Oryzias latipes: one gene and its partners. The main gene of each other region encodes a partner of the protein of the gene in region 3 in a complex. Links are inferred from orthologs where the notes say so. Each region holds a gene or a part of one and is shown on either strand. Other genes may lie near its edges.

Region 1 (6,236 bases), on a different chromosome or scaffold from region 3:
AATTTAGCTACTACAGCCAACAGCATGTACCATACTTCTTCCCATATTGATTCATTTCAGGGTATCTAACATATCCAACCCCACCTTATTATTGTACTTACACTTCTGCCATTGTGTTGTGCAGCTTTCCGTAGTTTCTGGAGGCTTTTTTGCAGTGTGGCGTTCTCCTGCTCCAGTATGTTTACACGAATGCTGTTAGCCTGCAGCTGCTTCTCCATGTCCAAAAGGACATTTCCTGTTGCTAATGAACAAAGATTCATACAGTCTAAAAGTTTAGATTTAACATAGTAAATTAACATTGAAAACTACATTTTTTATTCAAATGTTAACAAATGCATGTAATAGTCAATAATGGCCTACTCTGTGGTTGGGCCCAGTTGTGGAGCTCTGGGAACGCCACCAAAATTCTCTCTCTGTCTCTTAAAGCGCGAACACGATCCATCAGTTCATGCAGCTGCTGTTTCAACTCCTCTTCGCGCATTTCTAACCTCTGTTTCTTCTTTTGTAGCTCCCCACACAGGTCCTGAAGTGCAAAAACACACAGCAAGTGTCTCTAAATACAGGACAAAACTATCTTTGTGGGCAAACCTGTAAATTGAGAATGTTCTAGTTTGATTTGATTTGATTTTATTCTACCTGCTGTTGAGCAGTCTGAACCTGCAGTTGTTTCTTCTCGTCTGACATCTGTTGCAGTTCATTGTCTAACTTCATTTGGGCCTCCTCGCTGTCCACCAGCTGCTTCTTCAGCTCTTCACACTCTTCATCAAGATCTTCAACCCTCTTTAGCAAAGATTTCTGCTTTACCTGTGTTGACTAGACACAAAATAAAGCAAGAAAACATCAAAATCTATATTCAGATTTCTTCTTAACGGGTACCGATTTGAGGTTTCAACATCTCAAGCTGATTTAACATGTAGTTATAGATTTTTCTTTTCTTTTTGAGACACAGACCTCTTGCTGACGGCAAGCACTCTGGTATTTGGCCCTCTCCTTATCAAGCAGCAGCTGAATGTCAGAGAGTTGTTCCTCAAGCTGATGGATCCTTTGCTGCTGTTGACAACATGCCTCCTGGTCTGTTTGTAGTTTTTTTACTTTCACTTGCAGAAAATTATTTTCACTTTCTAAGAAGGAGGACAAAGATTTGTTATGTAGTAACACAGCAATTTTATGAAAAAAACGTTTTTTTGCTATGAAAATGATAAAAACAAATGAAGTTAGGCTATTTTACCTAGAGTGTGTATGGTGTCTTGCTGCAATGCTACCTTCTCCCTAAGTCTAGCATTGGTCTCCTCTGAAGAATGGATTTCTGTTTTAAAGAAATTGAAAAAACAAAAAAGTTTAAACATGATCCTAACTTGTTTTTATTGTGCTGGTTAATGTGATTAATACCTTTTTTAAGCTGTTTATGCTCCTCCTGTTGCTTTTGTTCAGTTTGCTTTGCGCTTCTCTGTGCTTCCTGCAGTGAAAACTCCAGTTGTTCTATATTTGTTTGCTGTTTTTCTAGTTGTTGTTCAAAATCCTTCTGCACTGTTTTTAGTTGAGATCTGATGGCCTCACGATCCGTTTCAGCTGCTGCTACTCTGTCTTGGAGGGGCAGTACCGTTCCCCTCACATCCTGCAGGTGTTTTGCCAGCCTGCGCATGTCTCTGAGCTGTTCATTGGCCCACTGTGCAACATCACCTGGAGTCAGATGTCCCACCCTCACTGTCTCATCCACAACTGCTGAGAGAGGCTGCAGAGATGAGGGTAGACCTTCACTTTGAAACAGATCTATCAAAGATTCTCCAGTTTTTCTCAAAAGAGATTGCACTTGGTGACATGTACCACAAGGGATGAGGGACGTTTGTGCAGTCTGGCAGCTGACATTATGGGAGGCAGTTTTAGGATGGAATGAGGTTTGTTCGGGGGAACTGATGGTGATGTTATTTTGTGGGAGGAATTTAAATGAGCTTGTGGAAGACCAGGATATGGAAGAATGCCTGGAGCAACTTGTGCTGGATCTATTGAGAGGGGACTCGACGTTTGACTCATCAGATTCCACTGAATTTGTCTTTTCTGCAATGTTTTTGAAGAGTTCCTAAAAAGACATAAAAGGCATTTAAAGTCAAATACTTTTGCATGTGTTTTTATCCCTGTGGCATTACTAGAAAAAGAGGTTTCTTTACCTTTTTATCTGCAAATTGAAGTAAATCCCCCCAATAATTCCTGACCACAAGACCAACTGACATGCTGCCTCTGTGTGCAGCTCCTTCTGGTCTGTGGACCCCCATCTGTTGTTCAGCATAAACGCTGACGCTTTGAAGAAGAAACAGGAGCCTTGTTGGGGAACAAGAACATGCAGAGATGCTTTTAAAGTCATTATATATATATATATATATATATATATATATATATATATATATATATATATATATATATATATATATTTTACATGCAATACAACATTAGGTTACCTGTCAATCATCAATTCCAGGAGAATAATGTGGGAATGCTGATTGAAGTCATCTTCTCCTGCCACGAAGTCATATTCCTCCAACAAAGCAACAATGTCTAGATGACAGGAAAGTTTGTCCGGGAATTTCCAGGAGGAAGCGCAGACTGGTCCTGTTCTGGAGAGCACGTCCAGAACCGCACCCTGAATATCGATGAGGTCTTTTCTTAGATTCTTGATAGAATCCTGACGACCCAACAACAAACTCATGTCTAAAACGCTTATTTGGCGCCTATAAGTACTTGTTGACGTGAGGTCTCCTTGGCAACAGTTAACTCCAAGTCCCACAGTTCTTAGCGGATATTTCCGGAAGTAATTGGCCGCCATTGCGTTAACGAAAACGAGACGCGGTGAGTATTAACGTCGACAAATAAAGAATTATAGCTGTATTAGCTATTACTTTTTGACTTACAGAATTTTTTTTAAAGAATTCATTTCAAAATATATGTGTGTTGCTTTAGTGTTTTCAGGTAAAATTGGTGATTCGTTAAAAAGACGCAGCCATGCCGCCCGGGCCTGTTCAAATGGTTCAGCCTGAGCCTAACAACAAGGTAAGGACGCTAACTAGCTAACATTAGCCTCAGATATCCGTCGCTTTTCTTAATGATTTATCGCCTTATAAAATTCGCCCCCTTTATGCAAAGCTTTCTAAGCCTGTCCAAAATTAAATGCTAATGTTTATAAAGCTGTAAAACATATGGGGCAACGTTTGCGTCTATATGTGTGGCCCTAAAAATTCCCAAGTTGAGAAAGTCAATAAAATTAGGTAACAGATATTACTTAAACTATGATTGCACTTCAATATTTGGTATCTTTGCATATGGTTTAGACTAAATGTGTTAGTTGTATTCTCAGGTTTTTAATGATCGAGTGGTTTAATGTTTAAATTGTTGCAGTGTATCTTAGAATTACCTAAAGTAAGTCTTATTAATTAATAAGTGAATTGATAATGTTTGTGTAATAATATTTTTAAGGAGGAACTTCACTGTACTTGATGTTATTTTTAAATATAAATATTCTTACTTTGAACCTTCTCTTGTCAGAATGATACACCTCCGGAGGAAACTCCAGCCACTAAACCTATTGTTGGCATCATATATCCTCCTCCTGAGGTCCGTAATATAGTTGACAAGACTGCGAGCTTTGTTGCCAGGTTGGTTGCCAAAGAACTGTCACGTACAGCTGTAAGAGGTGTTTGCTATCTGTAGTTTGACTCTATACTTGTCACTTTACAGGAATGGGCCTGAGTTTGAAGCAAGAATCCGTCAGAATGAGATCAACAATCCAAAATTTAATTTCCTCAACCCCAACGATCCCTACCATGCTTACTACCGCCACAAAGTCAATGAGTTTAAGGAGGGCAAAGCTCAAGAACCGTCCGCCGCAGTGCCCAAGGTTATGCAGCAGGCTATGCAGCAATCTCAGCAGCTTCCACAAAAAGTAAGGACTGTCTATTTACTGTGCCCGGACCTACAAGGGTTTATATTTATACAAACTTGCCTTTTCTTCATCAGGTGCAGTCCCAGGTGATTCAGGAAACTGTGGTCCCCAAAGAACCGCCTCCAGAGTTTGAATTCATAGCTGATCCTCCATCAATCTCTGCATTCGATCTTGATGTTGTGAAGCTCACTGCCCAGTTTGTTGCACGAAACGGCCGTCAGTTTCTCACCCAGCTCATGCAAAAAGAACAGAGGAACTACCAATTTGACTTTTTGAGACCCCAGCACAGCCTTTTCAACTACTTCACAAAACTGGTGGAACAATATACCAAGGTAAAGGACAAAAATTACAGCTTTCTTTGTTTTTTTATTGAAACTGTGTTATTGAACTTTTTTAAATGTTGCCTCAACCTTTAGATTCTGATCCCCCCAAAGGGTCTGCTGGCCAAACTAAAGAGAGAGGCTGAGAATCCAAAGGAGGTTATGGACCAGGTAATTTATTTTAGCCTTCAGAAGATTATTTTCTATGTTTAAAACTGTCTTGTTACAAACATCAGGTGAGATACCGTGTTGAGTGGGCAAAGTACCAGGAGCGTGAGAGAAAGAAGGAGGAAGAGGAGCGAGAGAAGGAACGCGTAGCCTATGCTCAAATTGACTGGCATGACTTTGTCGTGGTGGAGACTGTGGACTTCCAGCCCAATGAACAAGGTAGCATGACTATAGGAACACCAGGTCCAGATGTTGCAAGAACCATAGTTATTAATTTATTCATTTGGTGTTTTTCCAAGGCCACTTCCCCCCACCTACCACTCCAGAGGAGCTTGGTGCTCGAATCCTCATCCAGGAGCGCTATGAGAAGTATGGAGAAAGTGAGGAGGTGGAGATGGAAGTTGAGAGTGAGGATGAAGAGGATGAACGGGAGAAACGAGCCGGAGGTCAACCCTCACAGCCTGACCAAGACACACAAGTGCAGGACATGGATGAGGTAAACAGTTATCATTTACTACATTTATACAAAGTCCAACACTTGTCTAGGTTTCTTGGTTACTTGTGTAGCAAATTCACAAATTTAAAATGCTACTTCTCCAGGGATCAGATGATGAGGACGATGGAATTAAAGCTCCACTTCCACCTGACAACCCCATGCCACCTCCTCTGCCCCCGACTCCAGACCACGTCATCATTCGAAAAGACTATGATCCCAAAGGTACATTTTTTTCTGTGATTGAAATATTATGAAGTATAAAAACAAGCAAATAAAACAAGCGGTGCATTAAAACTTGTTTCCTTTTTTTTTTTTTTTTTTCACAGCCTCCAAGCCTATGCCCTCAGTTGCAGCTCCAGATGAGTACCTCATTTCACCAATCACTGGTGAGAAGATCCCAGCCAGCAAGATGCAGGAGCACATGCGCATTGGTCTGCTGGACCCACGCTGGCTGGAACAAAGAGACCGCAGCATCAGGGATAGACAGACAGAGGATGAAGTCTATGCTCCTGGTCTGGATATCGAGAGCAGCTTGAAGCAGCTCGCTGAGAGGCGTACTGATATCTTTGGTGTTGAAGAGACAGCCATTGGTAAGAAGATTGGTGAAGAGGAAATCCAGAAGCCAGAGGAGAAGGTGAGTTCCGTAGAAAGTAGCATGGTTTTTGTGAAAAGCATCATTTGAACTCGTTTTTTTATCAACCTGATAGATTTTTTGTGAATACGCGTTCAACTTTTGTCTGAACTTTTTGGATTCTTGTGACGTGTCCAGGTTACCTGGGATGGCCACTCTGGAAGCATGGCTCGCACCCAGCAGGCAGCGCAGGCCAACATCACTCTACAGGAGCAGATCGAAGCTATTCATAAGGCCAAAGGCCTGGTTGGAGAGGATGACACTAAAGAGAAGATTGGTCCAAACAAGCCAAGTGAAAATCATCAGCCTCCCATGCCCTCTTCTGCAGTCAACTTACCCAAACCCAGCCCCCCAGTCTCATCTGTGCCTCGACCCCCTGTTTCTGTAAGTGTCCGTCTGAAAGGACTTAAGTTTGTGTTGCGTTAATGTAGCTTTCTGTGCACAAACAGATCTCTGGGCAATTGAGGCACAAACATATTTTTGAATTCCTTGACCTAGACTTTCTTCTCTGTTTCACTGCTTGATAACTAAACTTTACCTTCCCTTTCCTGGAACTTGTTTTTCTCTTTTGATGGCAAACAGATGGCCCCTCCGGTGCGGACCACTCTTCTGTCTGCTGTGCCGGTGCTTCCAAGGCCTCCTGTGGTGCGCATTACCCCAGGCCAAGTTCTCACATCAATGCCTCCCATG
Region 2 (6,222 bases), on a different chromosome or scaffold from region 3:
TTATATCTGGCCCTTTGAGGACAGCCGCTATGCAGATGTGGCCCTCGGTGTAAATGAGTATGACACCCATGCTTTAGATGGATCCGAATTAGCATCTCATTTATTAAGTAAAAAAGTTAAGTATTTTTAGAGCAGCTAAAATAATTGAATCCACTGCAGTAAAGTAAGAAGGACTTTTTAAACTTTATACATCTCTGACCACATGTCAGCCACTCCTCTTTCAAAATACTCATCCACATCCCTGCTGTAAAACCATTTACTGCTTTAAAACTAGCAAATCTGTCCAGGGATGTGCGGAGCTGAATCGCGTGAATCGGATTTTATTTCCGGATCAGAGAACTTATATGTCTTGTATTCTAATTATGATCAAAAACGACTATGCTAAAAGTCTGCAGGGGTGTCAACATGAAGTAGGGATTCTCGCCAGGACGGACAGGCGACGTACCAGAACTCCTAGAGAAGAATTAGCTTATCTAAATCTACAACTAGATGTTTAAATAGTCCAGCAGACGGGCCTCATCCAGATAGAACTGGGGGACAGCTAGGGGCGCGAGACGAGGTCCACGGCCAAGCTGCACTATTTTTACTCGATTGTTCAAACTTATTCACTGAAGTGCTCTGTTTAAGTCTAAAATGATCAAATCAAAACTAAAAACCAAACGACTCTGAATCTGATCAGGATATCCTTAATTCAGCTGACAATAATTCATTAGCAAGTTTAGTTTGAAAAGGTAGGTATTTGTTTGAAGTTTTACTTTATCAACAACTCAAATATTAGGATGCTACAAGCACAGGTGATTTCATAAATGTAAGTCAGTGACTGAGATGATTGGCGGACCTGGTTCCTTACCAAACCCCCATTACATCACTTTCAGAGCGTCTCTGCCAAATCCTGCCAACTCTGACACTTCCTTCAACGCCGTTTTTCCTTTCAGGTGTTTTTTCTATTTGACAGAGACATGAAGAGGCGTCATAACACTCACCCATGGGGGGTCCATATGGTGCTCTGGGCGGCATGCCCATAGGCGGGGGTGGGGGGAGGTTGGGGGGCGGGGCGCGTTGGGATGATCCTGGTGGAGCAGGAGGAGGTGGAACCATGCCAGGCGGAGCGGGAGGGTGCATGGGCATCTGAGGCATACCTGAGTGACAGAAACGGATCAAACTGGAGGTGGCGGGAAGAAAAACTAGATACTAAAACGAGAACAGGCTTTGACTTTCAGATGTTTATGCGGATGCCAAACAAAGTAAACGCGGCTCTGAGGCTCAAAACCTCTGTATTTCCTCCGACAGAAAGACAAAAACCACTCTTAAGAAGTCACAATGTCTCACCTGGATGCATACTTCCAGGCGGGAAGGGTGGTGGTCCACCTGGACCGCCAATACCCTGTGGGCCACCTGCTGATGGAGGCATCCCCATGCCATGGGCCATGGAAGGAGGGAGTGATCCGGGGGGAGGAACAGGGGGAAAGGCACCAGGAGGTGGCAGACCTGCACACACAAATCAACACAATCTACTTGAAGGACTTGTGGGTACATTTGTTTGTATTTTTGCAGCTAATTGCTAATTTGTATCTGTAAAAACACTTGTTTAGGCTAACACAAAACACAAGTCCCACACTGATCATCCTTTGATCTTTTTTCAAAGCGGTCTTTTATGAAAATGATGATGGTGATGATGCCATTTTTAGCCAAAATCAAAAGATCCTGTGTTGTTTTCTAGAACATAGTTTCTGCGGAATGGCAGTAGTTATGTAAAACTACAGAAAAATCCTTTTTTTTTGTCTGCTTCAGATTTAAATCCAGTTTTTAATTTTTGCAGTTTGCAGTCAAATGCAAGTTTGAGCTACATTTTCTTTGTCTCTATCATCAGAAAAATGCCACAAAAATACATCAAAAAGACAATGTTCATAAAAGCGAGTCTTTAAAAAAACAAAACTATTTTCACATAAATGTGACGTAACACCCACCTCCCATGCCCGGAATACCCATTCCAGCTCCTAGTGTGGTCAGGACCGGGGTGGGAAGAGAGGGAGGTGGTGGGGCATCAGCGAACAGCTGGTGGGGCCTGTCCGCCTGGGACAGCGGATTCTGCGCCGCCAGGAGTCGCTCTGCGGCGGAGCCGTGGCGCTCCCCTTTAGAATCTTTCTTGAAGGCGTACGACACAGTGATGGGCCGGTTACAGAGGTACTGGCCATTCATGGCCTCGATGGCGGCATCAGAAGCATCAAAACTGGCAAAGTTGATAAAAGCGTAACCCTTGGAGTTGCCGGTGTCTGGGTCTCTCATGATCTTTGGTGTTTGGAGAATCACACCGAAGGCACTGAATGTGTCGTAGAGCAGTTTCTCATCGATTTCTGGGTCCAGGTTACCGATGAAGATGTTCGCACCCACATCCAGGTTTTTGTTGTGTGCCGAGGCCTTATTGACTCGAATGGGTTTTCCATAGAGCTTGATCATATTCATTATTTTAATAGCATAATCAGCATCCTCTTCGCTGAGGAATTCCACAAAGCCATAACCTAAATAAAGAAAAACAATTTTGTAAAGATAATTTTCTAAGAAGATAATTGTTCAATCTTGTTGACCAACTGAAAGTGCACTCACCCTGATGTTGACCCGTGACCCTGTCTTTGGGCATGTGCGTGTTTACCACAGGACCAGCCTGCAGGAAGAGTTCCCATAGCAACGGCTCCGACACTTTCTCATCCAACCCACCGACATACACCGTGGCATCTGGACAGACAAGAGCAGGCTTGGTGAGTAAAACACTACAAAGGTTTCCACTTTCTGACACAAGTTAATGAATACGAATTACAAAAAGAAATGACCATATTTATGTTCACTTAAAGTTTCATTAGTTCTTTTTAAAACCATTGTTGAAACTGTGAAAAATTTAATGATCATGCTGCCTGGTAAGAATAAAATGAGGTCAATGAACTGAAGTTAAATTATGAAAGAAGTTGCAGTTGTTTAGTATTAGTTCCTGGCATAAAATATTGCTTTTTCTCTTTCTATTTATAGATTTGCAACAATGGAAATGAGTATACGTTTTTTCACAGCTTAATGCTTATATAAAAGGACGTGCATCTAAAGTGCAAATTCGATAAACGATTAATTGGGAGAATGGCTTTATTAGCTACAAGCTAGGCTAAAGCCGCTTCACTCCATGTGTTTACCCGGTTTCAACAGAAGAATATTAGCTAATTTTAGGATCCATATTCGCTCTATGAGGAAAAATGTGCCCTTGTTGGGTGTTACTACACATTACATACATTTATGCACGGCTAAATGTCAAAAGAAATGGGTAATAATTCCGTAAATTACCTTGGTTTCTTTCAGAAATTGGTCCCGCGGCCATGTTGAATGACCAACGCACCAGAAGCGTTCATGTAGGAAGCTCCGCCTCTTCCTGTTCAGCAAACCGGAAGTTATAATATAAAATGAACTCCTCTTTCAAAAAATAAAATACAATATCTTTGCTTCGTTTTAGATTATTTTTTTAATAGCATCGAACAATAAAAACACAAGACCAGATAAAGTTCAAAACTTTGTACGGACCAATTTATTACATATTTATATACATTTTTATATAAATCTACTAAAAGTATAAACATGGAATACAAATTGTTCATACAAAATACAATTTGGGCATAATAAAACCATTTTTATAAAACAATACTGTATCAAAATAAAATAAAAAAGCATGTCATGCAACAAAGTTCAAAACACAAAAAGCCAATGTTTTCATTTTATAAATGCATATATAAAAATGGGTTAAAAAAGCCTTGATCAATAATAACATAAGTGAAATGCATTTGTGTACAGAGCTGAGACTTTTACATTAAAAAAAAATGAACATTAAGAGCTAAAAATGGCTGCTCATTTAGAAAAGTAAGAAACAAAAAGGACACACATAGGTCAAAGTCTCCAAAAGCTTAATAAAAAAGATGTTCAGATCATTTTTTGATGGCTCTTATGATATTGCAATCATTGTTTCTAAAAATAATAATAATAATAATCAAACGAAAAGAAAAAGGAAAAAAGTCTTTTGACTAATCCAACTTGAGTCACAGACTTAGCAGAAAAAAACAAATTTTTATTTCAGTCAAACTGTTCATTCCTTTTAAGTCTCATTAGAAATCTTTCAAATGTTTCAAGTAACTGAGCAAATTACAGATCCATTATGTAAGAAGTGTAAAGGCCAAAAAGTTTTAATTAAGATGTTTTTGAAAGGTTTTACAATCAAATACTACCTATTTTCTTAAAGTTGTATCAACATAACACAATTCCAAATGGTAGACTTTAATCTCAGTCTTTTGGATAATTTTCTGTTATTTTATGTTGCCAATTCCTAAACTTTTATTGTGCTGCACAAATGCCAGCCCTCCTGCTGTTTAATTTGCCTAAATCCAGACTGATCTTTTAAGTAGAGACAGTCCAATAAACTGCATTCACAAGCGTCTTCAAAAGACCACCGGATCAACTGCCTTCATGTTTATAGGGTGCCTAACTATAAAGATTTTTACTTTTCAACAAGTGTTATGAGGTTGTATTTTATTTTCTCAATGTAAAGTTGTGGTATCTCAAACCAAAAAAGGAAAAGCAGCTCAGAAACTTTCCAAACTCCTTTTTCTAACCTTCTTATTGTACCTCTAACCAACACTGAATCCTGATCCATCTACATTTCAAACACAATCCATACCAGAGCAGCATTGTAGGTCCTTCTGTCGGTGACACAGAGCATACATTCGGCTGCTGGTGTTCTCACCACATACAATGAAGTCTACAATAGACAAAAGGAACATGATGACAGATTACCATCTAATTCTTGTTAAACCTGAGCAGCTGCTGCAGGCATCAGTAAAGCCTTAGTCCTGCGTTCACCTGTACGGTTAAAACTGTACGGCTGTTTTTAGGTTGTCCAGGACCATGGAGGGTTGTAGAGAAGGACGTCGTGAAAGGGAATGTACTATTATTATGGGTGTTGTAGGAGTTTAGTGAAGTTACACATACATGACATGTAGGTGGTGCGTCATACGGTGCCCTAACGCTGCACTCTTGTCATGAGCAAGTTGCGAATACTAGCTCTTTATTGACTGCACACAAATGCTGCACACACGGTGTACACGGGATAAGTACCATATTTTCTGCACTATGTGGTGGACCTAAAAGCATCAATATTTTTTTTCAAAATAGGGCCTTCTATTGATTCTGGTAGCGATTATTGATGTCGAAGCAATTTTGATAGGTACGCGGCACTCTGTCAAAATATTTGGTTATGGTTTAGTGTGAATATGCTAACGCAGCTAACATGTAGCGGTTTTGGTGCGTTTCTAACAAGGTTGGGAGTTAGCGTAGTCACAGTAATGTCTGTTTTAGCGGTTTCAGTCTGTTTTTTATGTGTTGAAAACAACGTTGCGTGTTATTGTAATGGGAATAACTCTTTTAATGTGGCTAATGTGTATCGAGTTACGAACGTCTTGAGTCTGACAGATTGACGGCCTTATCTCTGACTTTTTTGTCTTCGGTGCGCCTTATATATTGCAAAAGTTCGAAAACAGACCATTCATTACCGGTGCGCCCTATACTGCGGAAAATACAATAAGTGCGGTAGGATGCCAGTACAATGCTTACCGTACATCTTCCAATAGTGGCCGGTCTTTAATTGACGCCAATCTAAATAAACGCCGGTCCTAACAGGTGCTCTTAACTTTAAGTCGCCAATAGTGGGTGAGCTCCTGTAAGCCGTATGACCTGCCTGCACCTCACCTACGTCACTCTTCCTAAGGTCGTGTCACACAGCCACTACTTACTTTTGCGCATATTGGATAAAAGAAAATTGGTCATACGTTAACCTACATGGAAAAAGAGAGAAAAGTCGTGGTCTTTATGTGACATTTTCACAGATGTATCACAAATGAACCACGTTAAAACCACAGAAGAAGTACGGATAAACCACCAAAGAACACGTAAATCAACGTCGAACATGAAACGTCCGCGATTATGGCACTGTTAATATGGAATTCATTAGTGATTTGTGTGTCATTTACGGAATTTTAACGTGTTATGTACCCCCGTGTACGCTGTATTAAAGCTATCCATCGGTGGTTCGTGCGTGAAAACGTGGAATAGTCGTGCAAAGCCACACATCTGCGTGTGCCTCTCGCAGATTAACAAATAATTGTGAATGAATATCTTAAAACATGCGTGAACTGCGTAATT
Region 3 (5,604 bases):
CCTGCACCTCGATGGGCTTGGAGAGGATCCTGCGGGCCAGCGCCTCCATGGCTCTGGGGAAGGTCGCTGAGAACATGACGGTCTGCCGGTCTGGACGTACATTGTCCACAATACGCATCACCTGGTGTAGAGGTGGGGATGGGAATCATTGAGATGTTAATACTACTCCTGTTACTGATACTGCTCATCGATTCGCTTTTCTTATCAATACTTTTCTGTGTGAAAACAAGGAGGGAAAAGAAAAATTACCTGTGTACAGGAAAACCTTTCATTTTAGAAAGATTAAAACACAATGTTAATTTAACATTCTTTGATGTAAAATAAAATGATCAATAAATATTAAGGTCTCTTTGTAATAATACCACCACACCAAGCTGCAGTACTGTTGCAGATTCAGTCTTTCCAGCCTGGTGCAGGTTAATAATTTTGTTTCTGGTGTCCTTAGACAGCTCTTTGGTCTCTGCCACAGAGGAGTTTGGAGTGTGACTGTTTGAGGTTGTGGACAGGTGTCTTTCTATAGATAACCAGTTCAAACGGGTGCCATTAATACAGGTAACCAGTGGAAGACACGGGATCCTCTTACAGGTCTGTGAGAGCCAGAAATCTTGACCAAACATTTATTTTCCACCATAATTCACAAAAATTCTTTAAAAATCAGACAGTGATTTTCTGTATTTCTTTTTTTCATTTTGTCCGTCATAGTTGAGGTCTACCTCTCATCTTTAAGTGAGACCCTTGCACAATTGTGGCTGAAAAAACAAAAAACTTCTTAGCCTCTGTACTTTGGAAATACAGCCACACTTTGGACCTTTTTGCTCGCGGCTGTTCTGCCGTCCACGTGCGGTTTTTGTCACCGTTAGTGCAGGACTATGTGTGTGTGAAAGCACGTGCGGCGGGAGAAGCCCCTCCCCAAAAAGCAGCGAGAAGAGAGAGACAGACGGCCAGTTCTACTAACCCACATCCAAACAAAGTAGTGTTGGCCATGTCGGGGCTGTTGCAACGCCACTATGCCGGTACCGTTAAGAAATACCGTTAAGGCTGAAACTTATATGTCCGGTAAAAACATGGACGTGGCATCGATACCAAATGGTACCGGCTTTGGTACCGCATCCCTATGTAGAGGGCAGGTTAGTGTATTTGTTAATTCACTTGTGTCTTCACAAATACAGGATAAAGTACCATCCAAACACATGAAAGTGAGCTAGCAGGCCTAAAGAGGAAAATGGTGAGAAAACGGGTAAAGTGGCGCCACACCCACCTGGGGCTCAAACCCCATGTCGAACATCCTGTCAGCTTCGTCCAACACCACATAGGTCGCTCTGCGCAGGTTGGTAACCCGACCTACACATCAAGAAAAAGGAGCAGGAGGAAATCCATCACCTTCAACAAAAAGCCACACAAACAGCTTTTTCCAAAATTTTCAACTATATATTTTTGTTAAGATGCTCGTCAGTCTATTATTTATCAAAACAAATGTTCCCTCAGGTGTGGGGTTCTAATCTATTTGCAGTTGTGAAGTGTTTTGTTTTTTTGGCTTCTCTCTGCTCTTGCGTACCATCTTAGGGGCACGACGGACCTGTAAATGTCAGAAAACAGCCTCAAGACAATACAAGAGCTGGCGCCCCATCAAGCATTACCTGACCGAGCGCCTTTTTACCTACAAGGGAAACATATTAGAGATTACCTCGCATGTGTGGAAACCAGAGCAACCTCCTCATTGACAAACGTAAGCAGAGGATGCTTTCCTAAACCCACAGTCCAAGTGAGAATCAGCGGCTTTCATGAGCCCAAAACCACATTTATCACGACACGATACAAAGCTCAGCTAGCAGATATGCTGAAGGTATAACGGTGATGCAGTGTAGACTTAGTGAGCGTTGCAGGTTGGATGAAACCGTGGAAAGCAGCGCCAGCCCACCTACCTGTGCTTGGCCCTGATCTTCAGGATCTTGTAGATCGACTGATCTCCAGCGGTCAAACAACGTCAACAGTTTAGTAAATGGTACGGTTTTGAAATATAATCATGCTACAACATTTAACCAATTAAAAAGCTCTCAAACTGTCTTCTTTCAGTGACATTGTCTTGAATGGGGGGATACAGGCAGACAAACTCACCGCTGTTGGCCCCCAACATGTCAATCATTCTTCCTGGGGTGCACACGATGATCTCAGCTCCTCTCTTCAGCTCAGCAATCTGAGGAGTAACAACCACAGAGTTGAGGTCTTCAGAATCTTCCAATACTCATTACATTCATACATTTTTGTGTTATACTATTTTTTTGCAATCCTGATTAAGTTACTGCAACTTTAATGACTTAAATGTTCTGTCCATCTTTACGGAGATCTTCCTTTAAAGAACCCAGAAAAAAAAAGTCTAAACCGAAAAATCAAAGCTTTGCTTCACTGCCTTGACTATTTATTTTTCAATAAAATAAATATATTCAGAAATTTTTTTTTTATTCCAAAACAACATATTTCAAATCAGTCTAAAAAATCCGTTATTATGAGAAGATTTGCAGTCCAACATTGCAAACATTCCCAATGTTCAGAATGACTTAAAAATTCAAAAACTGCATTTTTTGCTTTACTGTAGATCAATATGGGTTCATGTAGTATACTGAATATCTCACCTGCTCACTGATGCCTGTGCCCCCGTAAACACACACCACCCTGAGTCCCAGTGCTTTGGAGAACTTCTTGCATTCCTTTGTGATCTGCAGAGCCAGCTCTCTGGTCGGCGTCATGATCACAGCTGCAGCAGACGGAGAACAACACATGAGTGGATTCCTAAGCCTTGAGCTTTACATGAGGTACAAATATTTATTATCAATTCTGTCATCAACTATTCACTACAAGCAGTAAGAATTGTTGTTAAAACAGGAAGAACGTTGGTTCTAGTTTAGTTCATCTCACTGCAGTTGGTTCCAGTCAGGGACGTCCTGATCAGGTTTTTTTGGCACCGATTGCATTCAGAGTCATTTGATTTTGAGTTTCTGCTGATACAGAGTCCTGATCAAATGCATAAAAAATAAAGAACAAATGCTATATATGAACAGATCCAGGATGTTTTTTAATTTTTTATCATTTAATATTTAAACAGTGCGTCTCAGTGAAGTATAGCTTTAACAATCAAGTAAACAGAGCAACTTTCAGTAGGAAAAATAGTTAACGATTAACTAGTTGATTAGGTGATAATTAGTCATATGAAGAAGTTGAGGGACTTTAGGTTTAGTATCTTCAGAACTACTGAACATTTTATTATAATTAAGATTCTTGTTTACATGCAAATTAATTAAAACTATAAATGACTTTCATCCAAAATGGTTGTAGCATAAAGATGATGACGAGTTTTCATGACCAGCTTATGTCAGTGTAACATTTGATGAAGTTTGGTTGTTTTTGTCACTTTTTCCTGGAGCTTGCAGTTAGTAAACGGTCCCTTAGCAGCTGTCTCACTGCTGTCTCTGCGTTTATTCTCATCTAAAAGATTTAAAAATATACTTTCTTTAAGGTTGTTTGCATTAACACAAACCTACGGAGACCCTTGCTGTCAGTTCTAAAAGTTTATTGAAGAGTTGTTGATCTCAGAAGTATGACTCTACTCTACAGTTCCTTTACTGAACTGTTTTTGTGCGCCTCCCGCTCATGCTAGTGTGTTCTTCTGCTACACTTTACGGCAAAAGAATGTTGGGATCCATTCATGATATGCAGACTTATAGCAGAGCATTGATCTGTAATAATAAGATTTGAATGTCTAGTGTTGATCACAATAAGGAGAATAAAATAAATATCTGATCCCTGATCGAGATACAACATCCGATTCTGATGAAGTCTGAAACTACGTGATCGGGTCGGGACATTTCTAGTTACAACAGTAAAAAGCAGCGGAGAAAACAAAAAGTTGCAAACGATCTTACAGATGGGTCCCTCAGACTCCTCCAGGGGCCTCTGGTCCATGATGTGTCGGAACATTGGGAGCAGGAACGCGATGGTTTTGCCGCTGCCCGTCTTCGCGATGCCAATGAGGTCTCGACCCGACATGATGGCGGGGATGGCCTGAGCCTGGATGGGGGTGGGTTTATCGTAGCCCTGCCTGGTGGATTGGTGAGGAAAAAGTATTACTAGTGTTTGGTCACGCGTGTTTACGGTTGGTAAACCATCGCATCAAACATCAACTCACTTCTTCAGAGCGGAAAGGATTTTCATGGACACCCCGCACTGCACCCAGGTCTTGATGGGTTTAGGACAGCCTTTTCCTTTCACCATAATGCCTTCCAGTTCTAACCTGTATGCATTCACTTCTGCATGGATGGGAGAACAACCGAGCACACGTGTGAGCTGGAACATCAATGAAGACAAACTAACAACTAAGGAAGTCGTTTAACCCATAGAAGTCCTCCAACGCACCGGTGCGTTTACCAAACACATTGGCGTAGGAATGCCACCATTAATATACTTCTCCTTCAAAATATAACGTGAAGCTTTCAAAACGGTTTCAGCTTTACAAAACATGAAATAAACATAACCCCGAGTGGTGGTGGGCAGCTCGTCTGGGGCTGCTATTCTTCTGGTTGTGATCTCGGCGTTGGGGGCCCATGTGGCGGTCCTGTTGGCCCTGGTCTGGGGGGTTGACGTGTTTGCCATCATTCACCCCAGCAGAACAGAAACACTCACTGGAGCGCAGGTGTGAGCTCACCTTTGCACAAATAGTTTGCGTGACTGAATGAAATGTTTCACACGTGTTGGTCCGCATGCATAAGTATGTGTGTGTGTGTGTGAACAGTAGTTGTGTTGTGTACATGTTTGTATGTGAACATCTTTGGAGATAACAGGCATGTTTGTAACATTTGAGTGAGTGTGGACAGGCCCCGCCCCTTTTAGACCAGCATCTACACCTGACAGCAATGATTAAAAAAATTTCCAACTTGTTGCTTTATGATTCCCCCCCCTATACTTTTCTTCCTTTGTAGTGAATAAATACATTTAACTATAGATCATTTCTTTGGATCTTAACTTTGGCTTACTGACCCTCTGTTGTCATCTTTGCCAGCTCAGGAACCTCCACATAGAAGTTTTTGCGGTAGGGCTCATACTGGATCTTTGCGTGGTCGACAGGTTCCAGGATCTTCCTCTGTTTGGTCTGAAACCCTGTCAGGGCAGTCTGCAAGTCCACCTCCTCTTCCTCTGATGAGTACTGTCTCACAGCAGGAGAATTGTGGCCGTTTATTTCCAGCACAGTCATCGTTTGGAGAAAGGCTGCAGAAAGCAGCTAAAGGCGACCCACCTCCATGGCATCCTGGTCATTCTCCATCAGCTCGCCCTTCTTCTTGTGAGTGCCGGCTCCTTTTTTGGTTTTGACGACTGTCACAACTTTAGTTACCATCATCGCCCCTTTCTGTGGGAAAAAAAGAAAACAAATATCACCAACAGAAGAAGAAAAACAGACGCCAAACGGAAACAGCGTCTTATCCAACAGCAAAATATAAATAAGAAAAATGTTAGCGTGAAAACACTTTACTCACTTTGTCATTTCCCTTCATGTCACTCATGTTGAACTTCTTCACCTCCTGCTTCACCTCCTCCATGTAAGCATCCAAAGGATCC

What was found. Proteins that work in one complex are often made in the same cells at the same time.
Region 1: ddx46 (region 3) and sf3a1 share a complex: the UniProt entries of both Homo sapiens proteins name them as parts of the 17S U2 SnRNP complex. The link is inferred for Oryzias latipes from reciprocal best matches to the Homo sapiens genes DDX46 and SF3A1.
Region 2: ddx46 (region 3) and sf3b4 share a complex: the UniProt entries of both Homo sapiens proteins name them as parts of the 17S U2 SnRNP complex. The link is inferred for Oryzias latipes from reciprocal best matches to the Homo sapiens genes DDX46 and SF3B4.

Annotation. Positions count from the first base shown.
Region 1 is NC_019867.2:18,885,422-18,891,657, reverse strand, and holds the start of sf3a1 (splicing factor 3A subunit 1), read left to right. Parts: upstream 1-2,818; 5' UTR 2,819-2,841; intron 2,842-2,952; 5' UTR 2,953-2,994; coding exon 2,995-3,042; intron 3,043-3,534; coding exon 3,535-3,644; intron 3,645-3,726; coding exon 3,727-3,931; intron 3,932-4,005; coding exon 4,006-4,263; intron 4,264-4,347; coding exon 4,348-4,422; intron 4,423-4,487; coding exon 4,488-4,638; intron 4,639-4,718; coding exon 4,719-4,915; intron 4,916-5,019; coding exon 5,020-5,137; intron 5,138-5,241; coding exon 5,242-5,549; intron 5,550-5,684; coding exon 5,685-5,930; intron 5,931-6,128; coding exon 6,129-6,236. Other genes in the region: ccdc157 (coiled-coil domain-containing protein 157), read right to left, coding at 102-241, 361-523, 637-813, 952-1,121, 1,229-1,306, 1,390-2,077, 2,166-2,316, 2,454-2,818. UniProt on the Homo sapiens protein: Component of the 17S U2 SnRNP complex of the spliceosome, a large ribonucleoprotein complex that removes introns from transcribed pre-mRNAs.
Region 2 is NC_019869.2:7,214,572-7,220,793, reverse strand, and holds the start of sf3b4 (splicing factor 3B subunit 4), read right to left. Parts: upstream 3,419-6,222; 5' UTR 3,359-3,418; coding exon 3,325-3,358; intron 2,734-3,324; coding exon 2,605-2,733; intron 2,520-2,604; coding exon 1,968-2,519; intron 1,489-1,967; coding exon 1,330-1,488; intron 1,140-1,329; coding exon 984-1,139; intron 1-983. UniProt on the Homo sapiens protein: Component of the 17S U2 SnRNP complex of the spliceosome, a large ribonucleoprotein complex that removes introns from transcribed pre-mRNAs.
Region 3 is NC_019872.2:3,745,483-3,751,086, forward strand, and holds part of ddx46 (probable ATP-dependent RNA helicase DDX46), read right to left. Parts: coding exon 5,523-5,604; intron 5,396-5,522; coding exon 5,285-5,395; intron 5,195-5,284; coding exon 5,029-5,194; intron 4,302-5,028; coding exon 4,181-4,301; intron 4,094-4,180; coding exon 3,918-4,093; intron 2,753-3,917; coding exon 2,631-2,752; intron 2,195-2,630; coding exon 2,116-2,194; intron 1,342-2,115; coding exon 1,259-1,341; intron 122-1,258; coding exon 1-121. UniProt on the Homo sapiens protein: Component of the 17S U2 SnRNP complex of the spliceosome, a large ribonucleoprotein complex that removes introns from transcribed pre-mRNAs.